2 linked regions of the Astyanax mexicanus genome follow. The protein of the gene in region 2 interacts with the protein of the main gene of each other region in a pairwise test. Links are inferred from orthologs where the notes say so. Each region holds a gene or a part of one and is shown on either strand. Other genes may lie near its edges.

Region 1 (13,287 bases), on a different chromosome or scaffold from region 2:
AATATATGTACTGTAATATATTTACTGTAATATATTTACTGTAATATATGTACTGTAATATATTTACTGTAATATTGGAAACACAGAGCAGAAGGTGTTGGATCAGTGAATGAGTGAAAAGTCTGCTATTTTTTATATCAGAATTAAAATCCTGCTGTTCTTCTTCTTCTGGGCTCCAGGTGTCGGAGATCCTGGATTACTGGGGGCCGAACTCGGGCCCTCTGACGTGGCGCCTGACCCCGGCGGAGGTGCGGCAGGTCCTGGCGCTCAGGGTGGATTTCCGCAGTGAGGACATCAAACGATTACGACTTTAATACTCTACCACCGGCCGGAGTGGAGATACGGGGTTTTGTCTGTGAGGGATCTGTGTGTGATTTACGTTTATTAATCATTAATATACATTTATTTACAGAAACGGGATAAACCCGTACTGCAGGGTTTCAACTGATTAAAACTGATTGATCTGTTTGTATTTATAGATTTATTTCTGAATTCTTATTAAATGTCGTAAATGTATGATATGGTTTTTACTAAACTCCACAAAAAGAGGTTCTTTCCTACAGTCACATGATCTGGACCATATTTCTGGTGTCAGTGTGGACAATGTCATGAAAATAAAATTTAACAAATCATGAAATGTTTGCTGTAATAAATACTGATAATAAAATATTGAAATTGTGTTTAAGAATCATTTCACTGTAAATAAACATTGATACATATTGCGATATAAACATCTGTAAAAAAATAGACACCATTTCAGTTTCTGAATCAGTTTCTCTGATTGTGCTATTTATAGGTTTATGTTTGAGTAAAATGAACATTGTTGTTTTATTCTATAAACTACAGACAACATTTCTCCCAAATTACAAATAAAAATATTCTCATTTAGAGCATTTATTTACAGAAAATGAGAAATGACTGAAATAACAAAAAAGATGCAGAACTTTCAGACCTCAAATAATGCAAAGAAAACAAGTTCATATTTATAAAGTTTTAAGAGTTCAGAAATAATCAATATTTGGTGGAATAATCCTGGTTTTTAATCACAGTTTTATTTTCATGCATCTTGGCATCATGTTCTCCTCCACCAGTCTTACACACTGCTTTTGGATAACTTTATGCTGCTTTACTCCTGGTGTAAAAATTCAAGCAGTTCAGTTTGGTGGTTTGATGGTTTGTGATCATCCATCTTCCTCTTGATTATATTCCAGAGGTTTTTAATGGTATTCAGGTGTGGAGATTTCTCATTTTCTGTAAATAAATGCTCTAAATGAGAATATTTTTATTTGGAATTTGGGAGAAATGTTGTCTGTAATGAACCACAATGTTGATTTTACTTAAACAAACCTATAAATATTAAACTGATCATTTTAAAGTAGTGATTATTGATCAGATCTGTGATCTAATCAAAATTATCACCACATGCATCACAGACCTGTCAGAAAATAACTATGTTTATATTGTATAAATGAGTGGGAAAATGGTACAAATTTAAGATGTTTTCATGATGTAAGCAGTAGATAAAATTTACTGTTCAGAACTGAGTATTCTTTATTCACTGTTTATCCAGGAGAACAGCATTAATTACCGTCTTTTTTAGGCCTGTTAAAAAAAAGTACAGACAGCCCGTTAATTCTGTTTAATTAATCAGAATGAGTCAGTCTCTCACTGTTTACTCTATTATTATTTACTTTATATTTATTTAAAATATTTAAACATATTTCATTCAAATTCCAGCGTCTAAATATCCATCATAAATAGCAATTAGCTTTTTCAGGCTAATGTTGAACTGCATTATAATGCCATTATTGTATTAATATTGTGACTTAAATTATGATTTATCGGGAAAATATTGTTTAACGCAATAATTTATGCAACACTTTCATCCCCAAAATATATAGTTATAAGAGACAGACCTACGCTTTATGATGGAATATGCAGATGGTCACTGTTTTAACCCCTTAAACTCTGTATTAAAAGCTGCAATACAATAATGATAAACTGTTGTAATAATTCAGTTTAATTGGTGCAACAACTGAACCCTGTGGGACTCCACAAGATACTTCAGTTATTCTGCATTAGTATTTAAATATGAATAATAAAAGTAGGGTTTGTGAGGTTAAACGTTATACTGATGACTGTTTTATATATTAATATTTTATGTTCAGAGTGTTGTTTGTTCTTTTATCTAAATTCTAAACCTGATTAGTGTGAAGGTGCTCTGCGACAGAAAAAAAAAAATCTCTTTATGAAATGTGATATCACATATACTGTTCATCACAATAACAAAAACTGCAGCTAAAGAGACTCAGCAGTCTGTGATTTTTATTTTTAATTTAAGCTCTCGGGTCTTTTCTACAAACAGGTGAAAATCCTGGAACAGATTCTCTTAATTCCACTCAGATATTTAAAAAAGTGAATAATAACAAATCCGGTTCTGGACTCGAACACAACGTCATCCAGGTGAAGATCCAGGAGAACTGCAGCCCAGAGCAAAACCTCATCATCACTTTACATCACACTTAAACACACTTAAAAAAACAAATAAAACAAGAACGAAAAGTTCAGTGTGGAGAATCCAGGTCCAGAGGAATCCAGATCAGGATGATGTTCTTCTGCCCAGGTCTGAACCTGATCCTCTTTAATCAGAACTGGGATTAAATATCAGGTAAATATTCTGATCATTCTACACAAATTTATTCATATTTCCAAAAAACAGGTGGAGGAAGAGTTTAGAGTTAATTATATCTGGCTGGACTGGGGGGGGTGGGGGGGGGGGTATCCACACAGTTGGGCTCCTGTACAGAACCCTCATGGGGATGCTGCTGGAATCTCGACCCCTGGGGGAGTTGGGGGGGGGGGGGGGGGGGTTAAACTTTCCGGACCCGCATTCTCCATGTCTGGGTTGTAAAAGTCCCAGTCCGAGCTGCTCGCGAGTGTGTGATGATTCTACAACACACACAGATTGATGACCTAACTTTAATTCATTTACTTACAGCAGTGTTTCTCAGCCCGGGTTCTGGAGGCCCAACGCGCGGCACTTAGGCTGTGTCCCAATTACCTACTAATTACTAAATAACTAAAATACTCTTCAGATTAATTAACTACCAAAATAATCATTAGCTGCAGCTGTAGTGTTCATCACTGTTCATCAGGAGTTAGTATGTTAATATTTAGTGCACTAAGAACCTTAAAGCAGTATAAACACTAAAATGTGCAGAGAGCTGTGGGACTGCAGGACTCGACGGGCTGGAAAACGCTGCATTAATAAAGTATCTTTCTACTACAAGATGCTCAGCTAATAATGAAGAAAGCTAGAAGCCTAAAAACAAGGGAACTTCCTCAAACAGGTGAACTAGCTAATTAGCTACATTAGAGTTGGGTAATCCAGGTCCAGATGCTTCAAATCCGTCCCAGGGTTTGGTTCCACCTGCCTGCAGATCTTTAGAGCCTGGACCTGGATTATCCAGCGCAACAGTCAGAGATAATCGTCGCCTTGCAGCTTTACTTTTCTCTCAGAAGCTCTGAAACACAGTTTATCTTTTCTTCTCTTTTATTCGCCCCTGGGAAGCTAAAGAGTTCTGATTCTAATCGGCTCATTTACTCCTCTGGTTCTTCTGTGTTCAAAGAACTTGTTATGAATTCCCCCTGAAGTCGAATAAATCTCTGCTGTATTTCACCACTATCACTCTCCACTGGATGCAGAAAGAATGAGCGGGGCTAAAAGTGGGTCAGGCTGATGTCAGCAGAACCCCCTACCAATCGTAAGGCTGACATAGCATTAGCATGTCTCTTCTAGTCTGAGCAACTGAACCCGGCGAGCTATCCGAATATTCACACACACACAGTTATGCTTCTCTGCCTCAAGGCGGGGGTGCCCATGTGTTGCCATAGCAACGTAAACAAACGTTTGTTCACCTGTGATGGACAGCACAATATCATGACCACGCCCACACAGTACCTCTCTTCAGTGACAGGCGTAAAGAGGTGTGCGTTATTTTACGACGTTCGATGAGTCTTTTATCGTAATTTTGCTTATTTTTTCTGTTTTTTATTTTTTTTATTTTCCTGTCTTCTTTACATCACGGCAAAGTTTACCATCATACAAAATAAATCAGCGTATAAAAACGTGTTCCCAGGGGTCTCAGGTTCGTCCGCAGCGGGTCAGACTTTCTTCCTCACTGAGGACGAGGAGGACGGCGAGGTTGAAGACGAGCTGGCGGTGGCGGCGGTGGTGGAGGCAGCGGACAGTAAGCGGTCCCTCTCCCGGAGTTCCTCCTGTAGCTGCGCCTCGGTGATGCGGAGCTGCCGGATGGTGTTCTTCATCTCCTTCATCTTCACCTCCATCAGAGCGATGATGTCCCGCTGCTCGTTCAGTTTCCGCAGCAGCTCGGCGGAGGTGGTGCCGTTGGTCAGCGAGTAGCAGTGGTCCTCGCCGGACAGCCCCGCGCCACACTGCTCAGCGATGAGGACTCCAGCGGCAGCTGCGGCGGCCTGCGTAAACGCGGCAGTCGATCCGGCACATGACCCGGCACATGACCCGGCCCCGGCACAGGACCCGGCACCATCCCTGCCACTGGCACCGGCGCCTACAAAATCCTCGCTGTGGTCAGCAGCGTTCCCCGCCGCGGTCAGGTCCACCGGCGTGATGTACTGCCCGTTCTGTCCGATTTGCACCACGGTCGTCTCCCCGTTACCTTCTCCCTCCCCGGCGATGGACACCACGCTGGTGATGATGGGCACGGAACCCGGCACGGCACCCGTCACGACACCCGGCACGGACCCCGGCAGCGCCGCGAACAGCTTCTTATTCCTGCCCCTGCGGCTCTTGCGCTCGTTGACGCCCCGCAGCGGGAAGAGCGTGGGGACCCGGATGGTGTAGGTCTTCCTGCCGCCGGGGAAGTGCACGCTGCACACGCGGTGGCCGGTGGTCGGCTGAAAGGTGCTGAAACAGCCGCTGACCCCCGCGCGCGAGATGTTCTTCAGCCAGATCTCGCGCTGCGTCTGGTCCTTCGGGAAGGTGTAGAAGCGCAGCTCGCGGTCCCGGTGCGAGTTATTATAGCAGCCCGGCACGCAGCACGTGAAGCCCGGCATGGCGGCGCGGGAAACTCGCCTATCGGTACTAATAAAGCCTTTGATCTCCGCTGTTTAAAGTTTGTTTGATGTTTTTGTTTGTTTGGATCTTCTCCGCTCTGATCAGCGCAGCGGCCTAGAAGCGGAACTACACCTCCCACAATGCTTACCACTTCCTGTTCCACAGCGGAGTCGGTGCGGGTCAAATCGGCGCAGAACTGCGCAGAACCCCCCGTCCTCTCTGTACAATGAGAAACAGCAGCTTTATAAAAGAATGGAGATACGTGCTTTTCACTGCACAGCGACCATATACACATTCTTACATCGTAAACACGCAGAAATATACCGATAATATAAAGTATTACATGCTGCACCGAATAGAAAACAATATATATATATATATATATTATAATAATATAAACACATATATTATTAACCTTATATATAAAATATTCATATTTCAGACGGGCTGCTGGAGAAACAGAATCTATAGAATATTTATTTGTCAAAAGTAATTAAAGTAAGCTATTTTGGGCTGACATCCGTAATTGGTTGTCAATTAAAAGTACTGATATACCTCACTATACCTCACATGACATAATTTACTATATGGATAACTTGAATAGAGATATTCAGATTTAATCTTGCTATCATTTTGGATAATCGTTGTTTACTAGAATATTTTAAGAGATTGAATAGAACAACGTCTATAATATTAAGCATTCTATAATATTGAAGTCTTTGCTTTTTTAATTGTGTAAAACTTGCCCAAAGTACAATTATTGTTTCCTTGTTTAATTAGCATTGTCTTGTTTTGTTTATTTTTTCCATTTGCTGAAAATGTACTAGTAGTGTAAACTGGAAAGCTCCCCTCCTTGATTTGTACATTTCCGTATTTAAAAAATAATAAAACAAAGAAATTTTGATAAATATTTGTACTCTTTGTGAAAACTGTGGTTAAAACATTACACACATTTTTTGTGGTTTGAATTTGCGACCGTTTCACTTGCATACATTCTGATTGCAACTCTAAAGACCTTAAATATATAATTTTTTTATCAAAAAAAAAAAATCTTGTAATTACTGTGTATAAATAATATTATAAATATTACACTTAGTTGTTACATTTATTTTAAAAAGCTTTACTTGATTGCTAAAATGTTATTAAAAAAGTGTAAAAAAAAACTGCAAGCTTTGTGTTCATTGTTTATATTATTTCTATATATATTTATATATAATTATTTATGTTTTGAACAATTATATACATATTTAAGCGCAACAGTATTCCAGGGTAAATAAGCAGAAAATAATTATTTAATACTGAACTTTGAAATAGTAAAAACATGCGGTGTGAGAAAAAACACTCCGGAAACGGGATTACTAAACTACATAAAACTACATCTCCCATGATGCCGCTGTGCGCGCTGGTCTGGGCGGGATATTGCGTCATCAGTAGTAGGTTTGAATGTTGTTGTAGCTACAGAAGCTAAAGCTGCGGGTTAGTTTGATTTAAAGTGATTATAGTGATTATAGTGATTATAGTTGTAATACTGAAGCTGTTATTAGTGAGTAATGGACTCGGGGGAGCAGCAGGAGGAGGACGAGGTGTCGGCTCGGATTCTGCTGAGGAGGGTTTTGGGTTCGGAGCTGATCCGCTCTCCCGTTACCCGGAGGTACCGAACCGGTTCTGATCTGTTTTATTAGAGTTTAATCTGATTAATCTGAGTAACAGCGGTCAGCCGCTGGATTAGAGTTTAATAATAACTCAGTAATAATTCTGTTTTACTCTGTATTTAATGATTCTCCTCATTTTAACTCCGATCACTGCAGTAATTTACTGTAATGTAGAATAAGTTACATGTTTTATATTGCTCTTATTTATTTGTGATATTAAACAATAACATTTTATAATTATTATTTACAGCAGATTCAGATCATTATAAACCCACACTACACCCAGTCTGTTCTATTCTACACAATTCACTTCTGTACATTAATAGAAACACACTGAGTAACATTGAGCACATTCACTATACTCACCGTATACACTATACTCACCGTATACACTATACTCAGCGTATACACTATACTCAGCGTATACACTATACTCATCGTATACACTATACTCAGCGTATACACTATACTCAGCGTATACACTATACTCAGCGTATACACTATACTCACCATATTCACTATACTCAGCGTATACACTATACTCACCGTATACACTATACTCAGCGTATACACTATACTCACCGTATACACTATACTCACCGTATACACTATACTCACCGTATACACTATACTCAGCGTATACACTATACTCAGCGTATACACTATACTCACCATATTCACTATACTCAGCGTATACACTATACTCACCGTATACACTATACTCACCGTATACACTATACTCAGCGTATACACTATACTCAGCGTATACACTATACTCACCATATTCACTATACTCAGCGTATACACTATACTCACCGTATACACTATACTCACCGTATACACTATACTCACCGTATACACTATACTCACCGTATACACTATACTCACCGATTCACTATACTCACCGTATACACTATACTCAGCGTATACACTATACTCACCATATTCACTATACTCACCGTATTCACTATACTCACCGTATACACTATACTCACCACTTTCACTATACTCACCGTATACACTATACTCACCGTATACACTATACTCACCGATTCACTATACTCAGCGTATACAGTATACTCACCGTATACACTATACTCACTGTATTCACTATACTCACCGTATTCACTATTCTTACTGTATATACTATGCTCACTTTATTCACCACAATCATTATACTCACTCACCACATTCCCAATACTTACTGTATTCACCACATTCACTATACTCACAGTATATAGCTGTTATTTTATCACAGTGGTGAGGGGAGTGGACGCAGCCGGGACCGGTTTACTGTGTCAAAGTTAAGAGATGATTATTGTGATTATTGTGATAAGTGTGATGATGGTGATGCTCCTGGTTCTGCAGTGTGTCTCAGACTCAGGCCGACTCCCGCAGGAGGAGGAGCTCCAGAGTCAGGAACCTCCCACCAGCCGAGAGCCCACAGAGCGTCCTCCGCCACAAACTCAAACACAAACTACAGCAGGTACACTTCTTATATATTCACTGTTTATATTTACTGTTTATATGAGTTTAATGTGATAATATTCTATTGTATCCTGATAAATGTTATTATTGTGATACACAGTTTACTTTTCTTTGAGTTTTTCTGTTTATTCTCAGCATCCGAAGAACTCCCCATCTGCAGAATATTAATTCTAATATAGTTATAATGAATTGGCTGAAAGTGCAGCATATTTTAATGTAAATCACTGTGTTTGGAATATGATGATGTTACTGGCAGTTATTAGGATTCTGACGCTATTTGTCCATTTGGTCTGTATATCGCAATATATGCAAAAATATACACAATATATCGTTTCAGCATTATCATTACAGTGTTTTTATATGTAATAGTCACATTGTATTTAAATAAATATATATTTTAGGTTGTTTAATTTGTGCAGTGATATAAAAATGCTTTAATTTATGTGCATTTTTTTACCCAATATCATACATTTTTCTACAGTCTTGCACACACCTTGTGCACACTTCTGGTGAAATTAGGTAACAATTCTACGTTTTCTGAATGGATTCGGATTGTTTTACAGTTTAGCGCACTGGAATGAATTCGATGCACTCTGATTAATTATCTTTTAAAATGTAAATAATGGCAGGGTTTGTTCACTTGAATAAAGGTTAAATATTTCTCCCTGAACTTAAATCTCAGAATAATGTTCTTATCCATAATTAGACTACAGATTCACACAGTGCTGTTTACTGTGTGCTAAGCTCTTATTGTCATGTGATCAAGGACTATACATAATATGTATAATTATTTATTTTATTTATATAATGATATAAACCTTGATATGTTTTTTTTTTCATTAATTTATTTACTTTGTGAAGTATGTTTTATATTCTGTGAACCTGAGCAATGAAACTTACTGCAATATATTTATTCTGCTCCCTAATGTTCAATTTCACAAACAGACAATATAATATTTACTAAAAAATGACTATTTTGTTATATTTTAATATATGTTGCAAAAAGAATTACAGTTTTTAGCAATATTGCACTAATCCCTATCGTTAGAGTGTTTCTAAATATTGTAATTTACATTTTTGGCATATTGCCCATCACAGCTGATGTTAATTAGTGATGTCAGATGAATAAAAAAGGATGATGATAAATGAAAACATTATTCTGTTATTAAAAGTAAGTGTTGTAATATGTAATATGTAACTGACTCGGTGTTTATATCGTTAATAAAACTGTTTAAGTTTCAGATTATTGTGTTAATAAGTGTTAATAAGTGTTAATAAGTGTTTATAGTTGGTGTTACTGTTATTAATGGTGATGTAATGAATCTGTTTGCTGTGTAGAGCAGTTCTCAGTCTCCGGCTCCTCCCACTAAAAGGAGGCGGTCTCAGAGTCGGGCGGTGAAGACTCCGGTCGTGTCCTCCTCTTCTCTGTATGATGAGGACATCACACCCCGTGGTCTGCTCCGGGGCATCATCCAGACCGGTCAGTGTCGTGTCCGGCAGCAGTGTGATTACTGTTAATCTCAGTTTAACGGTATTTAACTGTTCTGGGATCTGTGTTTCAGAGGCCGAGGCGTCTCTGCTGCTCTCCGGTCAGCCGGCGCCGCCCGACACCAACCAGCCGCTCCCAGAAACCAGCAGCCGACTGAGGTACGTCCTCATTCTCAACTCCCCACATGTATAACTCAGTGACGTGCAAAAGTATTCAGCCCCCCTATTTCTACACTTAGTAGAGACACTTTTCTCTGAAGTTACAGCTTCAGGTCTTTTAGGGTTTATTTCTACCCGCTTTGATCATCTAGAGACTTTATCTAGAGATTTTTCCTCCATTCTTCTTTATAAATCAGCTGAAGATCAGTCAGGTTGGATGGAGAGCGTTGTGTCTGTGAACAGCAGTTTTCATGTCTCTCCACAGAAGATCAATGAGATTTAGGTCTTTAGGACTTTAACTGGATCATTCTAACACATGAATATTCTCTGATCTAAATCATTATAGCTCCACTGTAGCTCTGGCTGTATGTTTAGGGTCATCGTCTTGCTGGAAGATCTCCAGTCTTTTACAGCCTCCAACAGCTTTTCTTCTTCCAGGATTGTTCTGTATTTATTTATCTTCATCCATCTTCCCTCCATCAACTCTGACCAGCTTCCTAAATCTGTCCCTGCTGAAGAAAAGCTCATCCCCACAGCATGATGCTGCCTCCACCATGTTTCACAGTGCAGATGGAGGGTGTGTTCAGGGTGATGAGCAGTGTTACTTTTCCTCCACATACAGTGCTTTGCATTTGGGCCAAAAAGCTTAACGTTGTTCTGATCTGAGAACAGAATCTTCCTCCACATGTTTACTGTGTTTCTACATGACTTGTAGCTACAAACTGCAAACAGAACTTCTTACGTCTTTCTTTCAACAATGTTTTTCTTCTTCCACTCTTCCATAAAGATCAGATTTGTGGAGAGCAGGACTTATAGTTGTTCTGTGAACAGATTCTCCTGATCTGTGGATCTCTGCAGCTCCTCCAGAGTGATCATGGGTCTCGGCTGCTTCTCTGATCAGTGCTCTCCTTGCTGGATCTGTTAGTTTGGGTGGATGGTTGGTAGGTTTGTAGAAACAGGTGTAGAATAAGGTAAATTTTTGGATGATGGATTGATGGAACAGAGCTGCTTGGGATGATTAAAGTTTGGGAGATGTTTTTATAATCTAATGCTACTTTAAATTTCTTTATCTCCACAACTTTATCTCTGACCTGTCTGCTGAGTTCTTCCTTCTTGGTCTTGGACTAATAAAACACTGAGGTCTTCACAGAACAGCTGTATTTATACTGAGACTAAATTACGCACAGCTGGATTAACTCTATTAACCCATTAAGTGACTTCTGAAGGCAGTTGATTGAAAAGGGGATGAATACTTTTCATGTCTCACTTTTCAGATTTTTATTTGAGTAAAATTGTGAAAAACGTGTATCATTTTTATTCCATATCACAGTTTTGTGCTACTTTGTGTTAATTGATCACTTAAAATCTTAAGACATATTTAAGTTTTGTGGTAAGGAGACGAAATGTGAAAAGTTTGAGGGGTGTGAATACTTTTGCAAGTTCAGTCTGTAATCTGGTTTTCTGGGCTGTTAAAGTGAGGGGGCGTCTGGACTGGAGCTGCCGGACCTGGTGACCGAACCCCTGAGTAATCTGATTGGAGGGATGAGTCGCAGGAGGCCGCCGCCCACTTTCAACATTTCTGCTTTTGAGAGACAACTGGAGCAGCGGTCAGGTACCGTCTGACTGTGTGAAAATACAACCGTGCACAATGTTTCACAACTATCACACTTAGTGCTGGGCGGAATCACCTAAAATGTTTATCACAGTTTTTTTTATTATTATTTTATTTTTTAATCGACTGGGCTTAAATATAGGTTTGTGATTTACTTTACTGTCAGGAGTTTATATAATATAAAACCTCAAGGATTTAAATGAAGGTTTTCATTATTATTGGATTTACTTTGTACCAAACCATCATACAATATATATAAAAATCAAACTTTATTATCAGAAAAAAAACAGCTGAAGAATTTAAACAATAGACCTTAAAAAAATACACTAACAACTTTACAAATCTAAATATTTAAAATAGTTCCATAAACACTATAAATTAACCTAAAATACTATACTGTAAATATTCAAATTTATTTTCACCTCGTATCCAGAGTTTAGGGGAGTTTTAGGGGAGTTTTAGGGGAGTTTTAGGGGAGTTGTAGGTAGGGAGTTGTAGGTAGGGAGTTGTAGGTAGGGAGTTGTAGGTAGGGAGTTGTAGGTAGGGAGTTGTTGTAGGGGAGTTGTTGTAGGGGAGTTGTTGTAGGGGAGTTGTTGTAGGGGAGTTGTTGTAGGGAGTTAGTTGTAGGGAGTTAGTTGTAGGGGAGTTGTAGGGAGGGAGTTGTAGGTAGGGAGTTGTAGGTAGGGAGTTGTAGGTAGGGAGTTGTAGGTAGGGAGTTGTAGGTAGGGAGTTGTAGGTGGGGAGTTGTTGTAGGGGAGTTGTAGGTAGGGAGTTGTAGGTAGGGAGTTGTAGGTGGGGAGTTGTTGTAGGGGAGTTGTAGGTAGGGAGTTGTAGGTAGGGAGTTGTAGGTAGGGAGTTGTTGGTAGGGAGTTGTAGGTAGGGAGTTGTAGGTGGGGAGTTGTTGTAGGGGAGTTGTAGGTAGGGAGTTGTAGGTAGGGAGTTGTAGGTAGGGAGTTGTAGGTAGGGAGTTGTAGGTGGGGAGTTGTTGTAGGGGAGTTGTAGGTAGGGAGTTGTAGGTAGGGAGTTGTAGGTAGGGAGTTGTAGGTAGGGAGTTGTTGGTAGGGAGTTGTTGTAGGGGAGTTGTTGTAGGGGAGTTGTTGTAGGGGAGTTGTTGTAGGGGAGTTGTTGTAGGGGAGTTGTTGTAGGGAGTTAGTTGTAGGTAGGGAGTTGTAGGTAGGGAGTTGTAGGTAGGGAGTTGTAGGTAGGGAGTTGTAGGTAGGGAGTTGTAGGTAGGGAGTTGTAGGTAGGGAGTTGTAGGGGAGTTGTGGGGAGTTGTGGGGAGTTGTAGGTAGGGGAGTTGTAGGTAGGGGAGTTGTAGGTAGGGGAGTTGTAGGTAGGGAGTTGTAGGTAGGGAGTTGTAGGGGAGTTGTAAGGGAGTTGTAAGGGAGTTGTAGGGGAGTTGTAGGTAGGGAGTTGTAGGGGAGTTGTAGGGGAGTTTTTGGGGAGTTGTAGGGAGTTGTAGGTAGGGAGTTGTAGGTAGGGAGTTGTAGGTAGGGAGTTGTAGGTAGGGAGTTGTAGGTAGGGAGTTGTAGGTAGGGAGTTGTGGGTAGGGAGTTGTAGGTAGGGAGTTGTAGGTAGGGAGTTGTAGGTAGGGGAGTTGTGGGTAGGGAGTTGTGGGTAGGGAGTTGTGGGTAGGGAGTTGTAGGTAGGGGAGTTGTAGGTAGGGGAGTTGTAGGTAGGGGAGTTGTAGGTAGGGGAGTTGTAGGTAGGGAGTTGTTGTAGGGGAGTTGTTGTAGGGAGTTAGTTGTAGGGGAGTTGTAGGTAGGGAGTTGTAGGTAGGGAGTTGTAGGGAG
Region 2 (13,310 bases):
CAGTAATATGCGAATGTGAATGAGACATATTCAGAATCATAGTCAGAAAGGTGGAGTCAGGGTTAATGCACACAGAACTTTATTTAGCTTTTTTAACTTTGCCAGCAGGCTTAAAACCTCTCTTTTTCCTGTTGTTCTTCAATTTCTTGGTAAAACCAGCAGACTGGACCTGCAAAAGAAGTGCAACACTGTCAGAAATTATATTTAAAATATAATAAAAGTATATTACCTTGTACAACCTTTATTTACAACAAGTTATACATTTGAAATATTTTTAACCTCATACTTTCACAGTTAAATCTCAAGGTCTAAATTGTATTACATTCTTCCTAAATGCTAACAGACCTTTTTGCGTTTCTGTTTTGCTTGTTTTTCATCTTTTTCAGAAATCTCCATTTCATCATCCTCATCTGTCAGGAAATTGTCTTCATCTTCCTCCATTTTTTCTTGCTCCTCTGGCTCCTTTAGAGTAAACAATGTGGCTGTGGGGAACAGAAAGTGAGAACATAATCTTAAATCTGCAGTAATTGGCCTAGATGTGCCAGAATTCAGTATATAAATTAACGCCAACCATATGGAACAGTGGGATAAATATTTATATCGTATATGAATACATATATGTATGCTAGGCACCCGTTATAAATAAGAAAATGGTCATTAGCATTTGTAGTGAGCTGAGCAGCTTCTTTTAAAGTGGTCATATAGACTATATTGCCAGAAGTATTTACCCATCACTGAAACTAAACTCTATGGCCACAGGTTTATAAAACCAAGTGCAATACAATGTATTGGATGTAGGATTATAAGTATGACAATAGTAAGGTTTTTTCTTGTGAAAACTGTTTATTTGGGTGAGTAAACCGTTTACCATTTATTTCAGAAAGGTTAGATTTCCAGATTTCCATGAAGGCTGGGTGAAGCAGCATTAGCATTAGAGGCTAACCACCAGCACCATACAGAGAAACCCTGACTGTTCCAGTAAGCCAGGGTGACATCAGCTAAAAGTTCGTCCCATGTGGCTTGTTTTAACATGGTAAAAATGCAGGCTAAAGTCCAGTATGCTCGTCTCTGAACAGCGAAAGAGCTAGAGCTAGCGCTTAACGGCTAATGCTAATGCTGCTCCAGCAGTGTTAACCGGGGTTAGCAGCAGACTGCAGTCTGATAATATTCACCTCTGAACGGAGAAAAAGCTAGCGCTGTGGTTAGCGGATAATGCTAATACTGATCCATTCTAATACTGATCCATGTTTACACTGATTGAGAACTAAACTGAAACTCCTGTATAACGCTGTACTTTAGCAGATTGGCTCTACTGCTTCTTAAAAACTGACTGATAAAATTCATAAATAAGGCACACCAGATTTTTAGGTGCACTGATGATTTTAGGGGAAAATTAATGGATTTTTAAGTGCGCCTTATAGTGCAAAAATACAGTACTTTAGCAATATAGTGTATTCATGATTTTTGTGATTTTGTTTTGGTTTTAATTTAATATAATATTGAAAAATGCAGTATGATATGCTGATATGGTGAGGAATAGAACAATACTGGGAATTCTGGAGCACTGGCATGTATACCTGCAATAGGAACAGTATTTTTTAATTTTCAGAGGACTTCTCAGCATTAAATTCAGTGTGCGATCAACTTTAGCATACATGTTTTTGTGCTTTAAGAGCTGGAGTGTGGGACACTCACGTGGATAGAGGTCGGACATGCTGTCCTCTGAGTCGCTGCCCTCCTCGTCGCTGGAGCTGGGGGCCCAGATTCCACTGTCCTGCTTCTGTTTTGGCTTGTGTTGCTTCTCGCTGGCACTCTCCATGCCATCATCTGTGTGCTTGCGTTGTTTCTTGTGTCTGAGACGGGCTGGAACGAACTGCACCCCCTGCTTCACACACTCCTCATCTGAAACCAGATTAGATTAGATTAATTTATGGCCGGTCTAGCACAGAGTACCGTGTGTGTGTTCCAAAAGAGTTTGTAGACCTTAACAAGCATCTGAAAACGAGATGTTATCCATTTTATTGCTGCAGTAATCGCACCTACCCTTCCTAGAACACCTTTAAAGAGACTAAAATCACTACTTAGTAGGGGTGTCACAATTCTCTAAATCCTCGATTAACTTTTATTTCCGATTTTAGGGTCACGATTCGATTCGATTCTCGATTTTCTTTTTTCTTTTTTTTTTTACAGCAGAGAGGCCTATGCCAGTTTTAGATTAGTCTATGGTCATTCATTGGTTTGATTTATCAAATTTACAATATCTTATCTCAAAAGGTGGGCTTGATATAAGTGATGCAAAGTGATACAAGTGATCTGTAATACACCACATTAGGCACTAATGGTCAAATTTAAATGATTTAATTAAGATATATTTGTAATGCCATCTAGTGACTTTTTTTGGTAGCAGCAATGTGCAACATAAAATATATAATAAAAAAATACAGGAATAGTCATGTATAAAATAATAGAACAATTAAAGCCTTAACAAACTGAACTCTATCCTACTGTTACAGTTAAACATGAGAAATAAGACTTTAAGACTTTTTCGGTTCCTGAGAATGACAAGTTTTTTTCTTTAACAAAGATACATTATTAACTTCATCTGAGAGAAAGATGCTCCTTAAGGTACCAAAACTATTAACATATTTCAGGCTAGACAAAACAACTGTTATTTTTATATTTTCAAGTTTTTCTTTAAGAAGATGAGAATGTCTAAATTCTCTGGAGAAAGAGCTGCTCTTTGAGCTACAGTGTGCTGCGCCATTTGCGGGAGGGATCATCGATCCGCTTTTTGACTTCGATGCTCGAGACCATGACATAATTTCGATCGATTTCGATGAAAAATCAAAATCGCGACACCCCTAATACTTAGAAAGGAATTAAATTAAATAGGAATACCTGCGTTGAAGAATTCTGAATGTTAAATTTTGTGAAACTACCAATACCAAACTACTATTCCGTGACTCCAATAAATCTATAATTCCTGATATTTGCTTATTTTTTATCCTCTTCAGATGTACATCTTTAAAATTAGATCCTAAATCTTAATAATAAAATATTCATGTCATTATTAGAGAGGTACTTACATTCTCCTAGAGCTTTTTTATAGCGTTTTCCATTAATGTGTCGTAGAACGTGCTCAGGAACTCGATTGAGGTGTCTCAGGGTCAGCTTGCAAAAAAGGTGATTTCTGTAGTGAAAGAAACTTTGAATGTTAGCTAATACAGCTAAGCTAACAAGATATTATAATCAAGCCCTTAAATAAGAGGTCAGAATATAAATAAACAATAATAAAATCATGTTCGCCTTAGCCTCAGTTTATCTTTCCGGCACCAAGATTCAAGGCTGAAGCAGCATTAGCATTAGTTGCTAACTGGGCTAAGTGCTACCTGGGACAAACCGCTAGCTAATATCTTCCAGGCTTACTGGAACACTCAGGGTTCCTCAGTGTAGTGTTATTGCTAATGCTAATGCTGCTGTACCCCTGTTCCTTACTAGTGTTGCATTATCTGCCTTATAATCTTGTGCGCCTTATGTCCAAAAAATAGGGTACAAAAATTGTAATATGGATTCGGGCCTATTTATATATATATAAAAAAAAACATATCTGATAAGATTTCTAATGATATTTAGAACACACAAAAACTATAAGAAACCTGCAGATATTAGCAGTGACTGGACTTACGGTTGTTTGGTACTGGGGACCAGATGTGGTTCATACTGGCTGTAATTGAATTCAGCATTGGCAGACAGTTTCTTGTATTTATTTCCAGATATGAAATGTTGCAGCTCTGTAAGGTTGCAGGGAAACTCGTGTCCATTCAAAGTGCACTTGACCTGAAAGCGGAGAACAGTTTTGATTAGACTAGACTTGTCACATAATCCCTTAAAGGCCAGTATACTGACTGACATGCCATATGTCATGGGACAGGAACCAGTATTGTGTCCTGTGTCTTTTGCCATGCCCCTAAAAATAAGGTAAATAAATGATAAGTTTGCAGATACAGTAGCAGTCCAAGGTTTAGACACACCTTCTCAGTCACTGTTTGCTTAATTTACTTATATAAAGCAATTTCTATATTGTAGATTAATATTAAAGACATGAAAACAATTAAGGGACACTTACTGTATAGAATTCTGTAGTAAACAGTAAAAAAGTGTTAATCCTCCACATTAATCCCCTGATCTAAACCTGATGAACTGAGATGGTGATTTGAGGTGGTTTAATTGGGATGAGCTGCAGCTTCACAGCATGAAGAAAAACCAGCAGCAACTATTGTTCAGCACCTCCAGAAACTCCTTCCTTCAAGACGCTGAGAAAACTATTCCAGGTGACTCTCCCTCATGAAGACACTGAGATTAAAATACCATTTAGGAGATTAGAAGCTACTTATAAGCTATGTAGGAGCTACTTCTAAAACATATTCTGGTTTGTTTAACACTTTTTGTTTACTAAATTACTCAGAATGTATTCCTGTATATCTTTAATATAGTCTTTAATATTAAATTTACAATGCAAAAAAAAAAAAAACATAAAAAAAAAGAAAAAACACACATTGAATGAGATTAGGTGTGTCAAAACGTTTCACTGGTATTGTAACTATATAACTTACATATGTAATATCTGATAGAGCTGTGTGTATTTGCAAAAACTTACCAATACAATACAAATCATGATACAGGGGTCACCATTCAATATATTGGAATTCTTTCAAATTGTAATAGTATAAAAACACAATTATAAAATCTCAATAAAAGAATAATTAACTTTTTTTTAAATCCAGTCAGAACAGTGAATAGATCTAACTGTACAACACTGCCATCTAGTGGTCGCGGTTTAATCACCACACAAAATGAACCACTTCTGACCCCAATCTTGACATCTAAGCTAATAATTATTTTTTTAAATTAATACAGTATTGCAAAACAAAATATTGCGATTATTTGATATATATCAAATTAATATTTTCTTAGACCCCTAATATCTGATATTGGCATTGGCCCAGAATTCCCACATCGATGCAAACCTAATTCCAACAATTTGTCGAACACATGTAATGAAGAATAAAGGCTTTATTGTAAGAAGTTCTCATGGAGTATATAAGCAGCACCAACATCTAGAAAAGTTTACATGCAAGATTGAGCCTATACATATTATACCCAGGACAAATAAAGAACACACACATCTATAAATGTCATATATTAAGAAGTATTAAAGCACCTTCTTGCCATCAGTGAGCTCCAGAAAAGGCTGGTTCTGGAGAAATTTCCTGAGCTCAGCTGAAAGCTCATCCATCTCTGTAGATCTGAAGCTGAAGATCCTCCACGTGTGGAAATAAACCAGCTGTTTGTTTCAGTTCACTGATCTGATTTTCATACTGATATTCTAAACCAGTTCACAGATCAGCAGCTCTGTACCTGCAGCAGATTATTAATCTACAGAGATTATTAACACACAGCTAGATCTGATAACTTTCTGCTGCTGTGTATTATTTACTGTGTGATCTGAGCGGCCATGCTGCTTTTTGAGGGTCCTCCAGGCAGAAAGGCAACCTGCAGAGCGCCTAAATAAAATAAAACAATACAAAATAAAAGCCCATGTAGTCGTGGCTAATAAAGATTTTGTAATAAAGATTAATAAAGATTACACAACACATGATGCTGTTTTGGTGTTTCTTTGATAATTATATAATAAAAAAATATTCTTACTATCGTTATATATGTATTTTTATTATACGTAATACAAACAAAACAATAAAAATAAACAATAATGATAAAAAAATCACAGTATGTGTCATAAATAATAATAAAAATATATAAAACTGAATCGTTAAATTAAGGAAGTTTCATAAATAAAAGAAATAAAACATTTAATATGGATTAAAATAATAGTACAATTATTACGAAAATAAAAAAGAGTAATAAAATAATCATTATAATCACACTGTAGACAATATATAATAAGAAGTGATGTTAGACAAACATTTTATTACATAAATAATAATAATAAAAATAAAAATAAAAATAAAACAATAGTACAATTGTCACGAAATAAAAAGTATAATAAAATAATAATTACACTGTAGACATAATATAATAAAAGTATATATCAACACATTAATATTAATTATTTATTTAAATATTTTTAAATACATTTTTGGGTACAACTGTATGCCATTTCATTCATAATAAATTCATAATAATTAAAAAAAATGCATAAAAAAATAAATAAATATGTCAAAGCTAAAATAGTTGCATAGTAATTTAGTTTAGGTTAAATAATGTCACAGTAGATAGTAAATTATTTGTAACCCCCCTTCTTATTTTATTTTATTGTATTTTATTATTTTATTTTATTTTATTTTCGACAGGCAGTTAAAGGGCCTCAGTGTGGTGGTTGTCAGTCAGCTGATACAGTAGCCGCAGCAGCGGGATCTCTATGGCGCATTAACAGCACTTTAATTCAGGTTTTATTTTAAAACTGTGCTTTTAAATTACTGTATTCGTTCGGGATGAGATAGAGCAGTGCTGTGGGGTTATATTCATATCCGCTGTGTGTAGTTTGCGGCTGTTTTACTGTTGATAATCGCGCTGTTTTGGTGAAGTTGGGGTGATTTTGAGTGAGATGAAAATGTCCGGACCAAACGGAGACCCTAACCTGACAGCAGATGACGGAATTATTGATGATGAGGATGAATTCAATGAGGAAGGTGAGTTAATGATCACTGTCATCTCATTAACCACGAGTCTGTAGCCATTTATGACCTCTGGGCTTGAATAAATCAGTTTTTTTTTCGATCATAGCTTCTTGGTGGATTTTTTCCGTTCCACCTTAAGAGATTCAGTGCGTACTGTACTGAACAGGGAACTGAGTGACCAGACAGTGTATGGGTAACGGCCGCGTGATTTAAGGTGGAACGGAAAAGTTGTTCATGAAGCTAACTAGGCCATTATGATGGGTTTAAATTAGGAATAAACATATTTTAGGGTAGATTTAATCTATAATCATATATTTAATTCATTTAATTCATTCATAATAGTTTATTATATATGTATATGTATATTATATATGACCTCTAGGGTTCCAGCAAGGGTTCAGATGGAAAGGTCTAACTATTATGTATTCATAAGGCAATTAATAAGAGCAGTTTTTAAATAGCATTAATGGAGGAAAATAACAATTTTATTATGTTGTGTTAATATACAGTACAAGTCAAAAGTTTGGACACAAATTAAATGTAGTGTTTTTTTATTATTTTAATAATAAAATCATCTAAACTATGAAAAAAATGTAAAAGAAAGGTAAACAATCCAGAATATGTTTTATATTTTAGATTATCCAAAGTAGCACCTCTTGCTTAGATGACAGATTTTATAAGGTAGTCACCTGGAATTCAGGCTTTCAGTTAACTCATCAAGCATTAATTACTTGAATTTCTTTCCCTCCTAAAGGGGCACTAAACCCCTTGATTTTAGCTGACCTCACCCTCAGCTCAGATTAATTAAAAAAGGCTAAAAAAATCGGAGGGGTAGTTTGGGAGGGGCACTGGGTGATGATGGGTATGGGTTTAGGGGCAGGTCAGAAAGGAGAGCTGATTGGCTGAGCTGCAGCAGCAGCAGTGTGCCTCTGATGGTGGTGAGACCCAGAGAGTTGTAGGTCAGCAGGAGGGCGGTATTATTGATTGTCTGATCTGCATGTTGTGATGTGTCTGCGTGCCAAAGTACACGGACAGTTAATTTGCACACTATAAGATGTGTAACAGGATTCAGACGTAGGTTACTCTGAATAATTAATTAATGTAAATGATGTAAAAATTATTTTAAAGTAAAAAAAATTAGTGTTTAGGCATAAGAATTACATGATCCAAATCATTATGCACAATTTACAATCCTTTTATTAGGTGGATATATCAAAATAATTTCTATTTAAAAGAGTGTGACCATTTTTCTTACAGTGCATTGTGGGAATCGTAGTTTAGTGTGCTTACTTTAAGAATAATGATGCCTTGAACTTTCTTACTTTAGAAACCAAGTAAAAAAAAACAATTGCATTATCAGTACAAGTACTATTATAAAATAAAAGCATTATTACTATTTTAAAAGTATTATTAATGTACCAATAAAATAGCAAACAGATTGACACTATAATTAAAAAATAATTGTACTTTTTCTTTAATTAACCAAGAGTATGCAGCTATTAACTCCATGCTGGACCAGATCAACTCGTGTCTGGATGACCTGGAGGAGAGGAACGATGCCCTGAACGGAAAACTGCACGAACTGCTGGAGTCCAACCGGCAGGCCCGGCAGGAATTCCGGGCTCAACTGAGCCAGAAGGACCAGAAAGATCAGAAACAGCAGCCCCCGTCTCCTCCACCACCTCCTCCTGCTTCTTCCTCTAATGAAGACTCACCTTCCAGTTAGTCACAGTGGAGTGGAAATTATATTCCAGTCCAGTCCAGTATAGACTCCTTCTGCTGTGATGAATCCCTGCGATGCTGTAGAGCTGCTCTGGCCTCAATATTCCTCAGCATGTTGGTCCTGATATAGATCAGTGTTCATCACCTCCAGTCCTGCAGTCTGTCTGTCTGCACTGTGCTCCATGTCTGCAGTAAGATGAGGTCAGCTGAGTGGCATAGGCTGTTTATCATATCTGGCAATATAATTTAATATCATATTCTTATTTTTTTAAACTAGCTTGTCCAGAATGTCTGTTACTGTTCCTCAGCCCTGTCCTGAATGTTGAACTGGCACATAGTTCAGAGTTCTTGAATCCAGTGTCTATTAGTGCTTCTCAAAAAATCTCAAAATGAATATCAATGAAAAGTTACTTTATTTCAGTAATTTAGTTCAAAATGTGAAACTCATGAAAACTAAAGAAAACCCAAAAATCAGCATCTCAAGAAATTTAAAACATTTATAAAAGACACTTTTAGCAGTGTGGGCAGTGTGCCAAGTACTGCTGGAAAATGAAATCCACATCTCTATAAAAGTTGTCAGCAGAGGGAAGCATGAAGTGCTGTAAGATTTTGTGGGAAAACAAAACTACACTGACTTGAGCAGATGACATGTCTCTCCAAACCATCACTGATCATCAGTAAATTTTACATTTCATTTGTAAATCAATGGAGCAGAGTCTGGAGGAAGAGTGGAGAGACACACAGTCCAAACTGCTCGAGGTCTAGTGTGAAGTTTCCACCAATCAGTGATGGTTTAATGGAGAGACATGTCATCTGCTGGTGTTGTTCCACTGTGTTATATCAAGTCTAAAGTCAGTGCAGTGCAGCTTTTATTTTCCAGCAGGATTTAGAAAACTGCCTACACTGCCAAAACTACCAATTGGTCTTATATAATATTAAACATTTCTGAGACACTGATTTTTGGGTTTTCAGTCTGTGTGTAATACATCTATATAATATGAGTTTCACATTTTAAACTGAGTAACTGAAATAAGGTAACTTTTCAGTGGCATTGTACATTTTTGACATACACTAGTAGTTTTCATCAAGCTATAGCCACCTGTATCTTCAGTACTTCTTAATTAGTGTACTATGCAAGTCAAGAAATCACAAAGCAAAATAGAGCATTAAATATTTGTAATGGAACAAATCTAGAACATATATATATATATATATATATATATATATATATATATATATATATATATATATATATATATATATATATATATATATATATATATTTATTTATATGTAGATCAGTGTGTAAATGCTATAGTTTTATCAGTTATGTAGTTTACTATAGAAGGAGCATAAAGGGAAGGTATTTGAGATTTAACTATATTAACAATACTGATTGTCTCCTGTCCACATGAAAACACGGAATACATAGCTTTTAAAAATAACCATCTTGAAGAAAGGATTTGGACTGGAAACTGGATTCATTGTTCAGATTTGAAGATTTTGACCCAAACAGATTTGCACACTAATAAGTATCCATTGTATTGTAATTGGGACAAGGCCCAACATTAGCTAATGAGTCTTTAAAGCTGTAGACTGGAGCTAAGGGGAACACTGAAATCATGCAAATGTACATGCAAAAAATGTAAGTCTTTTTTTTTTTTTTTAACTTAAATTATTAAGTCATTCCTGGTCAACACATCTCCAGATAAAGTCCATAGGCTATAATGCATTGTGTGTAATACCTACTGTATTTTGTCTTTAGATATACAACTCATAGTTTATAGTGTGTGTGTGCGTGTTTGTGTATTTGTGTAATGTCCTGTATCCTATTGTGTGTCTCTTCTAATTTTAACAGTACAACACAAAAACAATCCAAATCCAAGAGATAATCATCAAATATTTTAATTAACATTAAAACGACCCAAATGCAGAAAAACAAACATCGGAAAACATACATGGTACTTCCAGCTGCTATAAAACCATATTTTTTGATCTATTCCTTTTTTTGTCGTTTGTTGAATAAAAATAGATTATGAAATGTCCATTCCATTCTGGTGTTCATTCTAATTTTCCACATTTCCTTAATGCTGTGGTCCTGGAGGTAGGACTTCTCAAACAGAATAGCTTGCCTCTGTGTAGCATCATTATCTCCTCAAGGTTTGTCCAGAATGTGTGCGTGTTATGAATGATGATGATTACCCATTGGTTAGCTAGATGTTGATGAGATGTATGATGAGTATTATCTGCTACTGCTGCTTCTGCTGTACAATATACGGCTTCCAAAACACACTGGCCTGATAAATATTACAAAAAGGCTGTCTGTTAGCTCCACTGGTACCATATACAACACTCAGGATGTAGCTGTGGCTGCTGGGACTGAATAAATTAAAGGAAATCCATTTTTGTGCTGGATTCACAAAAGTGTTTTAAGTCGACTTTTTTGCCTGTGGGTTGTTAGCTCTGGTCTAAAGGGGGGTTTCCTATATTTGAATCTTAAGTAAAGTTTGTGTTTGCTACACTGTACACATTTAGTTCAATTAGTTTTAGTCTTACATTGCAGTTTAGTGAATTATGGGACTTAAGTAAATTTCCTTTCCAAGTATTTTGCCAAAACCCAACAAATTCCCCTATGATTTCTTTCATTCCTGTGTATAAATAAGGGTTAATCTACAGTTACAGTAGATACAGTAAACACCAGTGTCATCTGATGTACCCATGCTGCTGCGTGAAGCACCTTCACGCCAAGGGTAGTCAAATTTCTGTAAAAGCAGGCGTAAAAGAAAAAGGTATCAACAAATGTATTTATTTTTAGTAATTTGTTTTTATAACTATCTTTACGAAGGGAGTGAGATCATTATTTTTATATCAGAGCTGTAAGCAATTTTGCAGTTAAAAATAGAAATCGGGAATCTGCTGAATTATGTATCTTATGGACTTTATAATAGATATGTTTTGCAGAATGAGGCCAATGGTTATGAACTTTAGTGTTTCTCTTAACATTCTTTTCTCTTTGGTGCTGAGTGGTCCAGCGGCCTCTGGGTTCGAATCCCAGTCATTCAGCTTGCTTAGCGATACAGCTATGTAGCAGCTTAATGGGTGGGACAATTGGCCTAGCCTAATAAAAAAAGTTTTTTTTTCTTATGAAAGCTTTTGTTTATCCAACCCCTGGATCAGAGTGAATAATACTGTGTACGGTGCTTGTGTGTATGTTCATGAGGACGCTGATTAATTTCCACAACTGCAAATGAGTAACACCATGACTGACTCTACATGCCTGATGGAGGCTGAACATTAACTACCATGTGGATGAAACGACTCTGCCTACATTTAACATAACATTTTAAAGACCCAAAAACAGGCTCTGCCCACAAATATGTTTTCATAGCTATTGTTGCCAGATTGGACACACTGTACAGACGAATGGGGGGGGGGGGGATGAACTAGCAAAATCATTAACATCCCTTTTTTTAACAGGAAGCATGTATTATGCTTTTTTCAAACACCTTGACCATTTGAATGTGACTTCTCTGGTATTGTGCCAAATATTGCAGCTGTATTCTCAAAATATTATGAAACTTTTTTTCTCAAAATTGTTTTACTTTATTCTTGAAGCCTGCTATTGTCTTTTTTATAAAACACAGTCGCAGAACACAACCTGTCTGCATTGCACTGTAAAAATGAAATACACAGCTGAAGATAGAGTTTAGCTGCATTCCAAAGCCGAGATTACAGTCAAGTTCCTTGGTAGAACTATCTAGAATCCTACTTTAGTAGACTATGTCACACAAATTCAACTGTGGAATTGTGGGTAACTGATGGCCAGGAAGTATACATCAGCTGCGTCCTCAGAATTGCTACAAACATTGGCTGCATTTCTTGGCTCTGTATGAAGGGTACCTCACTTTGGACACACACAGTGTTTTATAAAGTAGTGGTGGAGAAAAGTAGCTCATATTGGTTGCACCATAAGCATGGGATTCAACTTTTCTGATCTCTTTTTGAATGTTTGGAAGTGAAATGAATGGAAAGAGTATTTTAACATGGTTCTGGTTCAGTTTAGAATTAGAGTTTAGGTGTTGATTTAAAATAATGAAATTATGTTTCACAAATGTATGTTTTTTGCTTGGTTACAGTAAAGAAAGGTATTTGGGTACAGTAAATATAGCAAGAAAACTGTGAACTGTGAGATCAAGCTGGAACTTTCTCAACATTGTTTCTTGAATTTGCCTAGCAACTCAAAAATTCAGTATTAAAGCATCCCTATTGAAGACGTGTGTTCTCTGAAGGTTTTTTGTTTATAAAATAAATTCTAGAATTATGCTTAATGTTGCCATTTAATTCAGCCACCAGGAAACTTCCATACATGAGACACATTAATGCCCAAGTGATTCTACGTAAACAGTACTGAAATTACAACCGTTAGTCTATGTATCTGCTGAATGATTTAGCTACATGTCTCCAGACCATTCGTTGCATTAGCCAGGCCAAGCATTCACACATCTGCACTTTCACTTCTTCCAGTGTGTAATCAAAGAGTTTCAAAATTAAAATACACAAAATTAAATAAAAACAATAAAACACAATATTTCAACTGGAAAAAGAAAAAACAGAAGAAATTAAAACACATCAACATCCAACATTGTCCACACAGATAATGCCACTGAGGATGTAAAAAGATCACAAAGCTTCTCAAAGACCACTGAATAAAATAAAATAAAATAAAAAACTGCACTAAATTCAGTGTTTTACACTCTTCTCTACACACAGCTATGAAAAGTCAGAAAGTCATCTATGCATTTTCCTAGTTTTATGACCTTGAGGAGGGGCTTGTTACATTTGCACAAATGGGATTCCAACGGATACCAGCATTTCAATGCTTTAAAGAAA

The links.
Region 1: the proteins of bbln (region 2) and thap11 interact in a two-hybrid assay, tested with the Homo sapiens proteins (2 studies listed by BioGRID and IntAct). The link is inferred for Astyanax mexicanus from reciprocal best matches to the Homo sapiens genes BBLN and THAP11.

Annotation. Positions count from the first base shown.
Region 1 is NW_026040053.1:949,199-962,485, reverse strand, and holds thap11 (THAP domain-containing protein 11), read right to left. Parts: upstream 5,284-13,287; 5' UTR 5,095-5,283; coding exon 4,165-5,094; 3' UTR 2,300-4,164; downstream 1-2,299. Other genes in the region: trichohyalin, read left to right, coding at 6,646-6,746, 8,116-8,233, 9,574-9,715, 9,798-9,882, 11,358-11,494. UniProt on the Homo sapiens protein: Transcription factor, which has both transcriptional activation and repression activities. Also modulates chromatin accessibility.
Region 2 is NC_064408.1:8,310,981-8,324,290, forward strand, and holds bbln (UPF0184 protein C9orf16 homolog), read left to right. Parts: upstream 1-6,387; 5' UTR 6,388-6,625; coding exon 6,626-6,710; intron 6,711-8,185; coding exon 8,186-8,424; 3' UTR 8,425-9,655; downstream 9,656-13,310. Other genes in the region: surf2 (surfeit locus protein 2), read right to left, coding at 80-169, 346-482, 1,696-1,902, 3,087-3,190, 3,686-3,837, 5,222-5,296. UniProt on the Homo sapiens protein: Essential for intermediate filament organization in intestinal cells, interacts with intermediate filament and regulates intestinal lumen morphology.